3 linked regions of the Caenorhabditis elegans genome follow. The protein of the gene in region 1 interacts with the protein of each later gene in a biochemical or structural test. Each region holds a gene or a part of one and is shown in the gene's direction. Other genes may lie near its edges. The genes, in order: unc-95, rnf-5 and pxl-1.

Region 1 (5,375 bases):
TAATCCGCTAGATAATTGAAAAGAAAATGTATATTTGGATGAAAATGAGGATTTTTGTTTTGAGGATATACCATTACTACGGCCAGATTGGATAAATAACATTAAACAGAATGATTACGTTGTTATAATTGTAAAAGCCAAGATCTCTGTGGACCAGGGGTGAGCGGCAAACGATTTGTTGCAGCAAAATTTTTTTTGTTGAAAATATCAGAATTTCAATTTTAATCGGAAAAAATGTGTTCCTACATCTATTCATGTTCCTACATCTATTCTGAAAAGCAGGCATATTCTAAGAAAATATCTTTTAAAAAACCCGGAAAATTTTCAAAAAGACACATTATAAAAAAATTGGGTCTAAAAACTTCTGGCAAGTTCATATCCGGCAAACCGGAAAATTGCCGGAATTGAAAATTTCCGGCGAATCGGCAAACCGGCAATTTGCCGACAATGAAAAATTCGGGAAACTTGGCCAACCGGAATATTGCCGAAAATAAAAATTTCCGGCAAGTCGGACAAACCGGCAATTTGCCGGAATTGAACATTTTCGACAACTCGGCAAATTCCGAAATTGAAACTGTCCGGCAAATCGGCAAACCAGCAATTTGCTGAAATTGAAAAATTCGGGAAACTTGGCAAACCGGAATATTGCCGAAAATAAAAATTTCCGGCAAGTCGGACAAACCGGCAATTTGCCGGAATTGAACATTTTCGACAACTCGGCAAATTCCGAAATTGAAACTGTCCGGCAAATCGGCAAACCAGCAATTTGCTGAAATTGAAAAATTCGGGAAACTTGGCAAACCGGAATATTGCCGAAAATAAAAATTTCCGGCAAGTCGGACAAACCGGCAATTTGCCGGAATTGAACATTTTCGACAACTCGGCAAATTCCGAAATTGAAACTGTCCGGCAAATCGGCAAACCAGCAATTTGCTGAAATTGAAAAATTCGGGAAACTTGGCAAACCGGAATATTGCCGAAAATAAAAATTTCCGGCAAGTCGGACAAACCGGCAAATTGCCGGAATTGAACATTTTCGACAACTCGGCAAATTCCGAAATTGAAACTGTCCGGCAAATCGGCAAACCAGCAATTTGCTGAAATTGAAAATTTTCGACAAATCGGCAAACTGCCGGAATTGAAAATTTCCGGCAACTCGGCAAACCGGCAATTTGCCAAAAATGAAAAATTCTGGAAACTTGGCAAACCGGAAAATTGCCGAAAATAAAAATTTCCGGCAAGTCGGACAAACCCGCAAATTGCCGGAATTGAAAATTTCCGGCAAACCGGCAAATTCCGAAATTGAAATTGTCCGGCAACTCGGCAAACCGAAAATTTGCCGATTTGCCCAGTTTTTTTTGCTATTACCGCCCACCCCTGAGCTATATACAAATGTTGTTTTAAAAAATTTATAAGACCGTGTAACAAATTGCTTGTCAGTTGGCAGTTTTTGGGGATTTTGTCTAAATACACTTATATCATAAGAAAAAAAATCCAAAAAATCCAAACATATCATAATAAAGCACTCCAAAATTTTTTAGATTTTCCATAATTTCCGGTCAAAGTTTTGGCACATTGCCAAAATTTTGAAAACTACGAGATTTTGAGGAAATTTATAAAAATGTCGCATGTTTCGACCCCTACAATGTTTTAATTCAAATAATTTAAACAAAATTGTATTAAAAAGTATTAAAAAAATTGGAAATTTTTTTTTTTTTTTTTGAATCAATCGACCTCCAAAATAATGAGTGGCAAAACTGAGTAATCACTACAGTCACTACTTTTTGACAGTAAATAAAAAATTTTCAAAAATTTTTTGAAAAGTTTTATCATGATATTTGGTCATTTTTGGACCAAAGGAGTGGTTTTTAATAATTTCCCCACTGGCGCTACTCCACCTTTAATTACCGTATAGTATACGTGCATAGTATTATGGTACTAGTTAATACCCTAACTCACGGTAACAAATTCAAAAAAAAAAGAGCAAAAAATTCAAATAATTTCAACAAATCGATCTTTGTAGACTCCTCGATCTTCGTCTCTATCTCTCATTCCTCATTGTCTTCTCCTCACCATCATCTGCCGGGCAGATTCTGCCCCCGCAGTAGCCTGCTCTCTTCTGCCGGTGAGAGCATATGTTGTAATATATTTCTGTTGCTGCTTCTTGCTTTCCTCTCCCTTCATACACATCAGTGTACCACTGCTGTGTCGATTTTCCTCTACGTTTTCCTTTACACGAATTTGAACTAACACGATTTTTTTCTTTATTTGTTGTATTATACTTTTTTATTTAGACACCTAGAATTTAGGTGCACACTAGTTAAATATTGAAAATGCCATTATTAACCTCTTACTCAGTCTCACAGAAAAACCCAAAAATGTTCACCTCCTCCTCCTACTCAAAATTCCAGATGACTATATCCCCTCAACCCAGCCATCAACAATTCGAATCTTATCAATGGACTACGGAATCTCGTAGTAGTCAACAGAGACATGGCACCGGGACCCCGTCTCAGGATGGTCGGCTCTCTGCGATTCCGGATCCTGTGGAGCGCCACGTGGCCCGGTGGCGTAGTGAGAGCAGGAATTCCAATAAGGATAAGGTGTTCCGTAATGATGAGGAGTTTAGTCAACGTGAGTCGAAGTTAGGGGGTCCTCTGGGGGGGGGGGGGGGGGGTATGTTAAACTAATGGGAAATGTTAAACTAAAGAATTGAGGTGTAATACTCAATTAACTTTGAAAATAACAAAATTTTGTGTTAACTATACTAGAATGTCAAAATTAACAGAAAATGATTGGATTTTACCCAAAAATGGTCCAATTTTGACTGAAAACAGTCGGATTTAGACCAAAAATTGTCCAAAATTCGCCCAAAAATCTATCATTTTTGGTTTAAAAAGGTCGGATTTTGACCGAAAATAGTCCAGTTTTGATTGAAAATAGACCAATTTTAACCAAAAAATGGTTTCATTTCGATCACAAATTATCTAATTTTGACCAAACAATTGTTATGTTTTTACCAATAAATGGTTTGAATTTGACCAAAATGGTCCAATTTTGACTGAAAACAGTCGGATTTAGACCAAAAATTGTCCAAAATTCGCCCAAAAATCTATCATTTTTGGCTTAAAAAGGTCGGATTTTGACCGAAAATAGTCCAGTTTTGATTGAAAATAGTCCAATTTTAACCAAAAAAATGGTTTCATTCCGATCACAAATTATCTAATTTTGACCAAACAATTGTTATGTTTTTACCAATAAATGGTTTGAATTTGACCAAAATGGTCCAATTTTGACCAAAAATTTACCGATTTTTAACAAAAAAAAGCCGGATTTGAACTAAAAATTGACCGATTTTAACCAAAAATTGACCGATTTTAACCAAAAATTGACCGATTTTAACCAAAAATTGACCGATTTTCACCAAAAATTGTCTGATTTTGACCAAAAATTGACCGATTTTCTCCAAAAATTATCTGATTTTGACCAAAAAGTAGTCCGATTTTGACAAAAATTGCACGTTTTTGACCAATTTTGACTGAAAACAGTCGGATTTAGACCAAAAATTGTCCAAAATTCGCCCAAAAATCTATCATTTTTGGCTTAAAAAGGTCGGATTTTGACCGAAAATAGTCCAGTTTTGATTGAAAATAGTCCAATTCCGATTTTGATCAGAAAAGTTGGATTTTGACCAAAAATTGTACGATTTGGATCAAAAACGGTCCCTATTAATTTGCTAGTTTTGAGCAGTTAAGCATTAGGTTTAGGCTTAGGCTTAGGCTTTGACTTCGGTTTAGGCTTAGGCTTAGGCTTTGACTTCGGATTAGGCTCAGGCTTAGGCTTAGGCTTAATTTCTATACCTAATTTTCTTATTTCCGTGCCATTTTTTAGCTAGACCTTCCCACAGGAATTTCGGATTTTCAGCTAAATTTTGATTCTCAACATCAGATTTTATTCAAAATTTGCTTATAAAAGAGTCATTTCCAACTTTCTTATGCAGCCGTTTTTTAAGGAAATACCCAAAAAAAAAGTGGTGCACATTTTTAAGCAACAAACCTCTCAGATCATCAAAATCTCTCTGTCTCTATCCCTTACATTTTGCAGAAGACGAGATCGTTAATGGAACACTTACCGCGTTGAAAAACGATGTCGAGCAGACGACCGAGATCATTCGTCGCAAACAAGAACAGATGGTATCGATTTTTTCAGATCTTGTGCGGGAATACATTGAAATTTGTTTCAGAGAATGGAACGTCGTCAATTCCAAACCGAGATGGAAGTCAATGGTAGAATCTCGATTGATCCGACCGACGATTGGCTGGCCGCAAGGTTGAAAGCTGTTAGCTCGGATGACATGAATCAGCAGCTTGTCAAGCTGAAACAGGATCAGAGTAAGATCTCGTTAGAACCCTTAATAGGTTCAGATCGCATCTATAATCTGCTACATAATTCTTTCTAGGCTTTAGGGCACATCTAGATTCCAGCTAGGTCTATCCATAGCATTCGATCATATTTAGACTCCGTATTATGCTTCAGACATTATCCAAAGCCTATGCTAGGCCTCAGACTCCACCTAGACCCCATGTAAGCTTCAGAAGCCATTTTAGCTTCAGTCCCGTCAAGGCCCTTCCTAAGCATCAGATCCAACATATGCCCTATCCTAAGCATCAGAACCACTTCTCCCCCATTCTGAGCCTTTGACTCATTTAGACGTTGTCCTTGGCTTCAGGCCCCTCTAGACCATATTCTGAGCTCTAGATTCCAGCTAGGTCTATCCAAAACCTTCGATCTTACCTAGGCTCCGTATTATGCTTCAGTCCTCATTCAAGTCCTATCCTAAGCCCCTGATCCCATCTAGGCCCCATATCAAGCTTCAGGCCCCTCTATGCCCTTCCTAAGCATCAGATCTCATATAGACCCTCCCTAACCCTTTCTAAGCTTCAAGCCTAATTCAGACCTTACCTAGACCTCCAACAATAGCTTTAGGGCCCAACTGGACCTCCTCCCCCAGCTTCAGGTCTGTTCTTAACTTTCACCGAATCCATTTTCAGGACAAAACGCGGTGACCGACACATTGGCGGCCCTTGTTTACGATGTCAACGCCACGACTGAAGTTTTGCGTCGTGGACAACGTGGACGTGACGGTGAAGATGGAAATAAGAAGAAGAAGGAGGAAATCGAGTACACCTTGAGACTTACACCGGCACCAGAGGAACAAATCCCGCAGAGGCCAAAGATTCGTGAGTTTTCAGAACTTGGACCAAAAAATGTAGAATTCGAAAAATTCCAGCAGAGGACGACAATATGGAGACAGACGACTACTCCCGCCAATACGGAGTCCAAATGTCCGAGGAGACCGATAGCCTGCGCCGCCG
Region 2 (5,375 bases), on another chromosome or scaffold:
TCCTGAAGGACTTCCTAAAAAGCATCTAGAAGACGGTGTCTGTGCTGTTTGTGGAGGACGTCTTGATGATTCGGAACATGTTCATGATGCAGATGCTGTGGTTACAACGAAAATGGTTGAAGATGAAGATGAAAAATTGTATAAGTGAGTGGAGAAGTTCAGCAGATTTTTGGAATTTTCACTTTTTTTAATTAAAAAAAAGAATTAATAAGTAGTTTTCCAGTTTTCTTCGAGAATCACCAGAAAGCACCAAATTTTTAAAAACTGATATTATGAAGCTTTTGAACGAATTTTCATCGATTTTTCCACAGTTTTTCGTGAAATTTTTTATTTGATAATTAAAAATTCAAATATACGAATAAAAGTTACACAGAAAAATAAAATCAAGACCTCCGAGAAATTTTTTTTTGCGTTGGCACGGTGCCAGGTCCGGAAAACGTAGATCCGGAATTCCACCAGATCTTGAATCCGTGGTGCCTCAATAAATAAAATTTGATTAACATTTTTTTGTTGAAAAATTGACGAAAATCCGGTGCACCAGAAATTTAAAATTTACAGTACTCTTTAAAGGCGCGCACCCTTTTGCATTTAACAAAGTAAATCGACACATGAGGCTAGAAAGCTCTTGTTAAACTTAAAATCAATAATTTCAGACTCTCATGTGGCCACGTTTTTCACGAATTCTGTATCAGAGGATGGGTAGTTGTTGGAAAACTTCAAACATGCCCGTATTGCAAAGAACGTGTCGATTTACAGAGAATGTTTAAAAATCCGTTAGTTTTTTGAAAAAATCAAATTTAATTATAAATTCTTTAAAAATTTTCAATTTCAGATGGGAGAAACCTCATTTATTCTATGGAAAATTGCTTGACTGGATCCGTTATCTCGTCTGCTGGCAGCCATTGATTGTAACAGCTGTTCAAGGACTCACCACATGGATGGGATTGGAATAGGAATCTTTTTATTTTAATTTTTACTTATTTATTTTTATTTAATAATTTCTAACTGCATCCCAAAGTTATCAAATAGTCACAAATACACACAAAAATTGTCATTCCAATTGCATTTTTATTCTCGTTTTTTCATTTTTTCTCGTTACTTCTTTTTTGCCGGGCACCGGGTGATTTTTCTGATTTCTTTGAAAAAAAAATTACGACTTTATTTATTCTTCCTGTTTAATTTTTATTTCCAATTCCCGTTCACAGCGGTGTTTTATATCTGAAACTGTATCCTTTGGATTCTTTTAATTGGAAAAATAAAATAAAAAAGTTTTTAGATGGCATCAAAACGGCATGTAGGATTAAATATTCGGAAAAAAGATGAACCGAAAGCTGCTCCAATTCGAGTTTCCAGTGTTTTTGGAGACGATGATGATGATGATAATGTGGTAAAATTCAGAGAAGTTTGAAAAATTTAGTGTAGGAGAAAAAGTTTTCAAACAACAAAGAAATGACCGAAAATTATCAAAAATAATTTTTTCCTACTAGCAATTTTAAACATTTTTAGTTTTTGACTATTTTTCGATTTAGAAAAGCTTTTATAAATTTCTGAATTATAAATTTCTTACTTTTCAGCCAGCCACAGCTACCAATATGGCATCAGCTTCAGTTATTCGTGTGCAAAAAGCAGCAGAACGAGAACATCAAAAGGCAGAAGCCGAGGATCCGACGATTTTCGATTATGACGGGAATTACGATGAAATTCAGGCGATTAAGAATGAAAAAGTGAGGGCTCGAAAAGTTGAAAATCGAAAAAAAAAATACTAAAAATAAAACGAAAAAGTGTAGATTTTAAAACCATTAACAAAGAATTTTCGATAAGAAAATATGAAAAAAAAATTTTCAACAAATAAAACAATTTATATAATAAGTTTCCACTAACAATTTTGATATTTTTTTAAATCTAAAAAATGGACAAGAATAAACGAACATTTTCGATTTTTCGGGTTTTTAGAGAATCGAAAATTTTTCGTTAAAAAAGAAAAAAAAACACATCTTTAACCAAAAATGGTTTGTTTCAGAAGTTTCAGTATTTTTAGGCTGAAAAATTCAACTAACAGCTTTGTTTTTGCAGAAAGAAGAAGCTCGAAAAGCGGACAAAAATCGTGAATCGAAATACGCGGAGAACATCATTAAAGCCCATGCTCGTCGCCAACTCGAACAATTTTCTCGTGAAGAACGCCAACAACTCAGAGAACGAGAGAAAGAAGGCGATGAATTTGATGATAAAGAAGTTTTTGTAACTGGAGCATACCGTAAGCAACAGGAAGAAGTGAAGAAACATCGGGAACAAGAAGCTGAAGAAGCTGCTTTTAATGATATGACAAGTGTTCAGAAACAGAAATTATGGGAAATTGGTATGGGAAGGACGCTTTTAAACGATTTGGCAAGAGATCCTACAGCTATTAAACAGAGGAAGAAAGAGCAGAAAAATGTGAGAAAACGGGAAGATTCTGATGAAGAAATTGATCCGAAACCGGAAAAATCGGATAAGAAACCAGCCGAAAAGCTTAAAAAATCAATTTATTCCGATGATTCTGACGAGGAAAAAGCACCAAAACCTCCACAAAAAAATTTCGAAGGAGATCTTAAACCTGGCCTGAATACGGTATCAAAAAAAAAAGCAACGACTCACGCAGAGAGAATCCGTCAGCGAAACTACACTCCAACACCTCCATCTTCAGATGATGAAGGTGCAAGAGCTCCACGAGCTCGGAGAAGGACTTCAAGCCCGTCACCAACTTCAAGGAAGTCCATAGAATCGAGAGAATCAGGGAGTAGAAGATCGCCTGAAGGGAAATCTGAAAAATCTGAAAAAGCGCCGAAAATCTCGCTTAAAGATAAGCTGAAGCCGAAGAAAATCGATAAAGAAGCAAGATTAGACGGACTCAAAGAAATTCTGAAGCAGCGGAATACAGAAGAAGATATTGAGGCAGCGAGGCAAAGATATTTCGAGAGAAAGGAGCAAGGAATTGTTGTACCTCCATTGTAAAATTTAATTTTTATTTATTTTTTCTTTGTTTGTTTTTTTCAATTGCTGGTTAAAATTCCAATCTCCCAATTTTCCAATTCCAGACCTAATGAAATATCCAATTTCAATTTCCAATGTTCATTTTTTAAAAACTTCTATGGTTATCTCTACCATTTTTATATATTTTAATACGTGATTTCAGAGAGAATTAAATAAGGAATTTCAGAGTTCGGAGCCAATGGCGTCGGAGACGAAAGCTCCATCCGAGGAGCCCACGAGCTCCAGTAATAAAGATGAATCTGCGAGGTAAATTTAGAAAAAAATCGATGTTTTAATCGTTAGACATAACAAATGACCGGAAATTAAAAAAACGAATTTTTATTGATTAATTTTTTTTGAGAAATCTAAAATTACATATTTTCTGTTTTTTTTTTTTAATTATTTTTCCGAATAATTTCTCTATTTTTGCTGTAAATTTTCAAAAAACGGCAGTTTATCTAAATACTTTTACGACACTTTAAAACATCCGAAAAACTACGAATTAACCAGAAATGTTTTGATTTTAATGAGAACAGATTCAAAGATAACCGAAAATTATTTTTAAAAAAGGAGTTTTCCGGAAAATCAACAAGAAACCGAAATACGAGAAAAAAAATCCGACAGAAAATATTACAGTTATTTTCAAAAATTTCAAAAAAAGTAGGAAAAACGAAAATGGCCTAAGTTTTGAATTTACAAGCAGTATGTCTTCAAAAAAAAGTTATCAAAACTAATAATTTTCCCGAAAAATTGACAAAAAAATCGAAGAATTTTAAAAACTGACTCTTTTCAAATTTTTCGTATTTTCACCGTTTCTAAAAATACAAGTTTCCAGAATTTCCAAAATTTAATAATCGTAATTTTGCAGATTTGAATGTAATATTTGTTTGGACGCAGCAAAAGATGCAGTCGTTTCCCTATGTGGACATCTTTTTTGTTGGCCATGTCTGAGTCAATGGCTTGATACTCGTCCAAATAATCAAGTTTGTCCAGTGTGTAAAAGTGCAATTGATGGGAATAAAGTTGTACCGATCTATGGAAGAGGTGGCGATTCATCGGATCCACGTAAAAAAGTTCCACCACGTCCAAAAGGACAACGAAGTGAACCACCACCGGTATGCACTACTCATGCACTGATTAACACTTCTGAACTACTTAAAAAAAGACATTATGCTATTTTTTTCAATTTTCTCATCATCATCATCAAATTTTACTTTTTTTTAAATGAAAAAAAGAAGAAAAATTTCACATGATTATAACAAAAAGACCGGTTTTATTGGAAAGTGTTTTCTATAATTTTAACCGAATTTTTCTTAAATGTTCGGCAAATATAGTTTTATCGGAAATTAATGTCTCTTTCAAACACATAATTTCTTTTTTAAATAAATAATAAAAAGAGAAAAAAGAAAACAATTGCTAAAGGAAATTTTTAAGCCAAAAACACGATAAAAAGCCAAGTGTTTTTAAACATAAATTTTTCAAAAAAAAAAAAAAAATTTTCGAACTTTTTAGAAAGCTGACAAAATGTTTGCTTTTTGCACAATTTTTCTTTAAGAAAAAATAACCAATTTATAATTTATTAAAAAATCTAAATAAATACCAAAATAATCCCAAAAAGCGCATAACACACACACACCCAAAAACTAACAAAATCTCGAAAACCCTCTTTCAGCAATCATTTGCCGGTTTCAATTGGGGTGGCGATGGCGGAATGATGGGCGGCGGCGGACCAAATGTGCATTTTTCATTTGGAATTGGTACGGTGAATGGTCTGTTCCCGTTGATGTTCATGCTACCTTTCATTCAAGGCATCTTCCCATTGTCATTTGTTGCTTCATTCTTTGGAAATGGTAATCAAGGAGCAGCAGCAGCTGGTGGTGGAAATGGTGGAGGAAATGACGGAAATGATGGTACACATGCACATACTCATGGACATACACATGGTAATTAGAGTTTTAGGGAAAATTCCAGATTTTTCGATTATTTTTGAAGAAAAATCAGAAAAATCCAAGAAAAAAGTTTTTTTTCTATTAAAGAATTAAAAAAAAAGAACTTATTTAAATTTGTTTTTTTGATTTTTACATTTTTTAAATAGGAAAATTCTAAAATTCTGAAAAAATTTACTAAAAAAATACGAGGAAACTGTAAAAAATAAAAAATTTAATAATTAAAAAAACTAGAATTTCTGAAAAATTCTGAAATTTTGCCAGATTTGATAACATTAGAAAAAAAAACTTTGTTAGAAAAATTTCAGAAAATAAAAACAAACAAAAAATGTATAAACATTTGGAAAACTCTAACTCTATAATTTTAACCAGAAAAGCAAAAATTTTCGATTTTTCTCTGAAAAAAAACCGAAAATTTTC
Region 3 (5,375 bases), on another chromosome or scaffold:
ACTCCTTCCTGCTCCGTATAGAATTATTAAAGTTTTAATGGTATAGAAGAAAAACTAAAAATACAATTCAAAGTGTTGAATAAAAAAATAATTTATATATCTATGTGTCTACTTACCGTCTATTTTCTGAATTTTTTGTTTGAAGATTTACGAATTTCCCCGATTTTGGTAATTTCAAATTATAGAATTAAATGTGAAATGTTCGCGTACAAAAACGGGTGTATACAAGCTGGCATTTTTTACCTACTTGCCTTAAAAACTTGAATCTTGAATACGGTACGTGGTCCCGAAAATAAAATTGGTGACCGAATTTTCTTACGGGACAGTGTAAAAAATTATCCCATATTTTAAGAATTTATAATAATTTTGTTTTCTAAATTTTCCACAAATTCCGTCTTCCACAACTGATCCCTAGGTACACTCTCCTTTCGAAACCTACTTGAAACATTTTGCAAACTTTTTTTCTGTTTGAATTACGATATGCTCGTATGTGTCTCTTCGGATCTCCATGATCTTTTCAAAGTCATTTCGATGGTTTTATTTATATCCGTGGCGGCGCAAACTTGTCATCAAAAAGTTAAAGCATGCGGTGGGAGGCGAGAGACACTCTTGACGCGTTTTTTTGTTTTACTGTGAGCAGATCTCTTGAGTCTCTTGGAGACTTTTTTTGCTAGCTTCACTAACTATTACAAGACATTTTAGAGCATAGTTTTCTTTCTAACCAGTGGAGAGTTTTATCTAGAGTCTTTAGAGCCAGTACCATTAATAAATTTCATCAATTGTATAGAGCCACATTTTTAGAAACTGTATCATTTTTAGATCAACCGTCGTACTTACTATCTTACGGCAGCCGTTTAGTTACATTTCAATCGAATTCAATTCGAATTCCCTCAAGCCTGTGTACATCTCAATCTCTTCCTCCCGCTCATTCTTGATTCAAAAACAAAAACTTTGCCTCCATTTCTTCCCGCTCTTTTCTATGTGTCGTTTATGTGTCTGTCTCTGTATCTCTTTAACTTTCACACTATTTCCTTTTATCGTCTATCTCTTCTCTTTTTTGAAGAAACTCCTAAAGATTAAGGGCCAAGATCATGAAGAATTCCCATGTTCCATTTTCTAGTTTTTCCTTAAATCAAATAATATTCTGGTAAAATAATAGTTTCAAGAAGTTTCAAGAACTTCCAAACAACTTTCACAATATACCGTAGAAATTCATAAAAGTTTTGACATTTCTCATTTTTCATGCATGATTGGCATGTTCCTTTAGTACTCGATCCGGTTTCACAACACCGTTTAAAATGTGATCTATTCAAACGGAATATGTGATTTCAATGTATCTCTTGTCATAGGGAGACTTCTGCTACTTGGCCGAGAAAAGGGATACCTCGGTCATCGCTTTCTTTGGCGGTCATGTTGCTAATAATTTATTTAGATTTTCCAAAAATTTTTTTTTTCGAAAAAGAGAGATTGGATTACTAGATTGGATTACTGATTTGACTTTCAAGGTTTTTTTAAATATTTCCTCGTTATCGATCCCTTTTCCAAGTACCAATTATTTCCAGCAACCTGGATTATTTTCTAATTAAATTTCAATTCAATTAGCAAAAACATGTACTAGGAATATGTGTAATTGAAAAAACTCTTAACGAACTGAATTGCATAAAACCATTCCTATATGTTGCTAAAATGTCCTAATATCATAGAAAACGGTTCAAATGTTTTTTTAAAATAGTGTAGTCAAAAAGTGGCTAGTTCTCACCTTCTTAATTTTGGAATTCTACAAAAAAGTTTTTTTTTCACAATTTTAAATTTGAACCAAAATTATCTTAACACTTTTTCACAATTAAACTAAGTTTTCCTATTGATCAAGCTTTAACTAATATCAAAATGATCATTCCTATTCTGAGAAGCAAATTAATCAAATTAAAATATATGGAAAGTAGACATATCTACATTAAAAAATTTTTTATGGGAAAATAGACACTTCTAATTTAAATTTTTTTAATGAAAAGTAGACACTTCTACTTTAAAAATTTGAGAGGTGAAGTGTCTACTTACTATTAGACATCCTTTTCAATATTTTAAAAACTTAGGCTACTGGATTATTTTCTGAGGATTCCTCATCAAACTGTAATTTTTATAAATAAAAATTTGTATTTTTGTTATCCAGATGCTATTCTTTTTTCAATGTTTTGTACTTCTTTTATGTCATCTCCATAAATCTTTTTTCCTTCTCCTCCTCTTTCTTTCTTCCTTTTTTCTTTTTTTTTGTCGGCTTCTTCATCGTTTTTTGTCTTCTTCCTCCCACTTTTTTCCACTCACTCACACATATTTTGACACATTCTCTCACATTTTTAGTGGTCCCCATACACATGCATACACACTCATCTATTATTGCACTTTTCCTTCTTTTATACACCCTCATTGGTACCGTTTTTTACTATTTTGAACATCTTGTTGTAAATTCGATCAATTGATAATTTGTTGATTTTCCGAAACTTGACTAAGCCGTCGGGTTGCATTCTGAGGTTCTGAAATAACTGAATTTTGGACTTTTTATAAAATCCAATTACATTATAACTTCTAATAAAGCTCTTTCGTCCGCCTTTTAATTGTTTTTTTCTTGATTTTCTCCTGAACATTTTTTGAATATTTCAGTAAGAATGCCAAGCGACGATCGTTTTGCGGATGCGGTTAAACCAGCTTTAGGTACCCAAGAACTTTCTAATGGAGGCTTTCCGGTGGAGAAATGCTCCCAGTAGTAGTCGTAGTACTAGTTTGGAAATTATGAGTTTTTTGATTAATGGGAAACTTATTAATATTTGGATGGAATTATCATAATTTTGAAAATTTATATGATTTTCATACTTGATAGTTTTCAATAATAAAATTCTTAAAAAGTGGGTTTTCACTTTTCAATTTGAAACATTGAAGAGTTCAAATTCTGTAATTGAAACAAAAAATAAATAAATATATTATTTTAATTTCAGAAGCCCTTCTATCGGATCTTCAACACACCACAGAAGTGCTCCGCCGTGCTCATATAAGTGATCGCCGCTCACAGAGTCGTGATGATTTTGAGCAATCCTATGATCTTCAGGGAAATCTTAACACACAGAGGTTAGTTTTTTTTTAATGTTACAAACCTTTCCATACATGTTTTAACATAAACTAAACATCTAATATTTGTGTCAGTGTGAGCAATGGAAATATAACCACTTCACCCTACAAACGTCGTTCGTCAGAAGGAAAAGATTATTCAAAAAGTCAGGAAAGGATTTATGGTTTGTTTTTCATGTAAAGAACATTAATATGTAATTGTATCTGTAGAAAATGAATCAAGACTTAACCCACCAGTCTATTCACGTCCAAGTGTCCAAAGTCTATTGTCTCAAGTCGAAGAACCACCAATTCGAGCAAGCAGGTAGGAGAAAACGTTTTTTGTTTTTTTGAAAACATTTTTATCTTCGGAGTCATATTTTGAAATTCGTGGCCTAGAAAAACCTTTTAAAAAGCTATACTATGAGTCAATTTAAATATTAATTTCAAATCTTCTGATTTAATAATTTCAAGAATCTTGCGATTAGGATTCTTAAAAGGAAAAATTTAAAAAATTTTGATTGGCACTTTCAAAAAAATCTGTAAAACATTAACATCTTACATCTGAGAATGCGAAAATATAAATCAATGGCCTAGAACACACAAAAAATGTTAGACCAACAATTCAGAATTTAGAATTCTATTAGGCATTTTAATTCGAAAATTCATAATTTTTTGTAGCCTAGAAAGTTCACTTAAGGCCTCGACATTTTTATAAGATTTGTTGAAAATTGTTAATTTTTATATCAACATTTTTTGTGCATCTTCAAAAAAATTGAAAACTTATGTATATCACGAAAATTGGTTCAGATATATATTTTTTTAATTTCTAAAAGCTTTCCAGACAACAAAAGAAAAATGGCCTTTAAGTTCCAAAAATAGCTCCGAAAATAAAAATGTTGAAAATATAAAACTAGAAAATTCCGATTTGAAATGGTCAAGCCCGTTTATCAAAATGCCAACTCCGTGTTCCATTTTCCCGCCGGCTCTTAGGTCATTTCCCGTGTTTCTGCGTCTAAAATCCCGGGAACAAACAAAAACTCAAATGTGAAGGGAAGAACGAGAAAAAAGACTAATAACATACACGCATATTACTTCTACTCGTCTCATCCCGTGTCGCAAATCATCTCTTCTTCCCCGGTACAGAGGAGGAGCCGGTTATTTTATTTTTCACTGAGTTTCTTCGTCTTGCTCAGTATCTCTTGAGCTCAACAGGGGTAAAATGCTGTAGGGCGGGAGAGTACCTACTCTCTATCAAGTGAGAAAGAAAAATATAGAGAAAAGGAGCAGCACACCTTTTTCTTTTCCACGCACACAACACTTTTACCTATCACTTGGCGGAATGATGCGCGAGTTGCAACAACGGCTTGACCATTTCAATGGTCCAAATTATGCACAAAATAGTCATTCAAACCACCAACAACATCATTCGGTTTATAGCTCACGCAAGAGTCTCGGACCACCAAGTCAGGCACAATCCTACTCTGATGTCGTAAGTTTTTATTTCTTTTCGGGGGGAGCTTCTGGGAAGGGAAACTGAAATGTTTTCGTTGGGAGACCTTAATTAAAAATGTCCTTAAATTAGAATTTTCAAAATCCCAGAATCTTCATTAAACTTTCCCAATCTCTACAAATCTAATTCCGGATATTTCTGTGTTCACAAATTTTAAAACCTAATTTACTGATCCTGAACGATATGTATTCAACTTAGACGCAAACTTTATGAATTTGTAGTTTTTCCTATTTTGGTCACATGACTACAAAGTAGAAAATTCGGTCATTCTTTTAAAATAAAGGTTTCTTGAAATTTTTGGGACTTTTTGAAATAAAAATAATTTCAAAATGTTTTTTGAAATATTCAATTTACTGTCAAAAATTGGCAATTACTCGGGTTTTGCCACTGGTAATTCAAGAAATCCACCAGAATATTATTTAATTTTTGTTCAATTGTTCTAAGTTGACCATTTCTTGACAAAACTTTCAAAAATCTCAAGAAAAAATGTAGAGTGTTTAAATATGGTATTAGGTCATGATGGACTATTACTAGTATGGTTTATCAAAATCCACAATTCTTTCACTTAAACGTCATTGCTCCAATTTGAAAGATCATAAAAGATTTGGCAACATTTCACAACATAGTCTCCTCATTTAATTTGAATACATTGCTCATCTTGCTTGTTTTGTAGGATTCCATTAATCCCAAATGCAAGCGTATCCCCATAAAATTCAGATGCTCCACTACTTCCTCTGCTTCTTCTTTTCCCTTATTTTCATGT

Evidence for each region.
Region 2: of the proteins of unc-95 (region 1) and rnf-5, one has a biochemical effect on the other in vitro, tested with the Caenorhabditis elegans proteins (one study listed by BioGRID).
Region 3: the proteins of unc-95 (region 1) and pxl-1 form a complex in vitro, tested with the Caenorhabditis elegans proteins (one study listed by BioGRID).

The regions. Positions count from the first base shown.
Region 1 is NC_003279.8:14,381,774-14,387,148, reverse strand, and holds the start of unc-95 (LIM domain-containing protein unc-95), read left to right. Parts: upstream 1-2,411; coding exon 2,412-2,634; intron 2,635-3,762; exon of another isoform or gene 3,763-3,850; intron 3,851-4,104; coding exon 4,105-4,193; intron 4,194-4,243; coding exon 4,244-4,391; intron 4,392-5,051; coding exon 5,052-5,240; intron 5,241-5,290; coding exon 5,291-5,375. UniProt on the Caenorhabditis elegans protein: Required for the assembly and integrity of muscle dense bodies, which establish the adhesion sites of the muscle cells to the extracellular matrix.
Region 2 is NC_003281.10:4,164,667-4,170,041, reverse strand, and holds the start of rnf-5 (E3 ubiquitin ligase rnf-5), read left to right. Parts: upstream 1-3,196; 5' UTR 3,197-3,208; coding exon 3,209-3,276; intron 3,277-3,877; coding exon 3,878-4,124; intron 4,125-4,681; coding exon 4,682-4,952; intron 4,953-5,375. Other genes in the region: E3 ubiquitin ligase rnf-121, read left to right, coding at 1-144, 654-773, 833-953; ccdc-55 (Nuclear speckle splicing regulatory protein 1 homolog), read left to right, coding at 1,277-1,387, 1,575-1,724, 2,074-2,991.
Region 3 is NC_003281.10:5,893,295-5,898,669, reverse strand, and holds the start of pxl-1 (Paxillin homolog 1), read left to right. Parts: upstream 1-2,658; 5' UTR 2,659-2,663; coding exon 2,664-2,709; intron 2,710-2,990; coding exon 2,991-3,120; intron 3,121-3,195; coding exon 3,196-3,284; intron 3,285-3,330; coding exon 3,331-3,424; intron 3,425-4,383; exon of another isoform or gene 4,384-4,441; coding exon of another isoform or gene 4,442-4,539; coding exon 4,540-4,591; intron 4,592-5,375. UniProt on the Caenorhabditis elegans protein: Required for myofilament organization of the pharyngeal sarcomeres and for pharyngeal muscle contractions and hence for pharyngeal pumping. Together with lin-8, might be required for myofilament organization in the body wall muscles.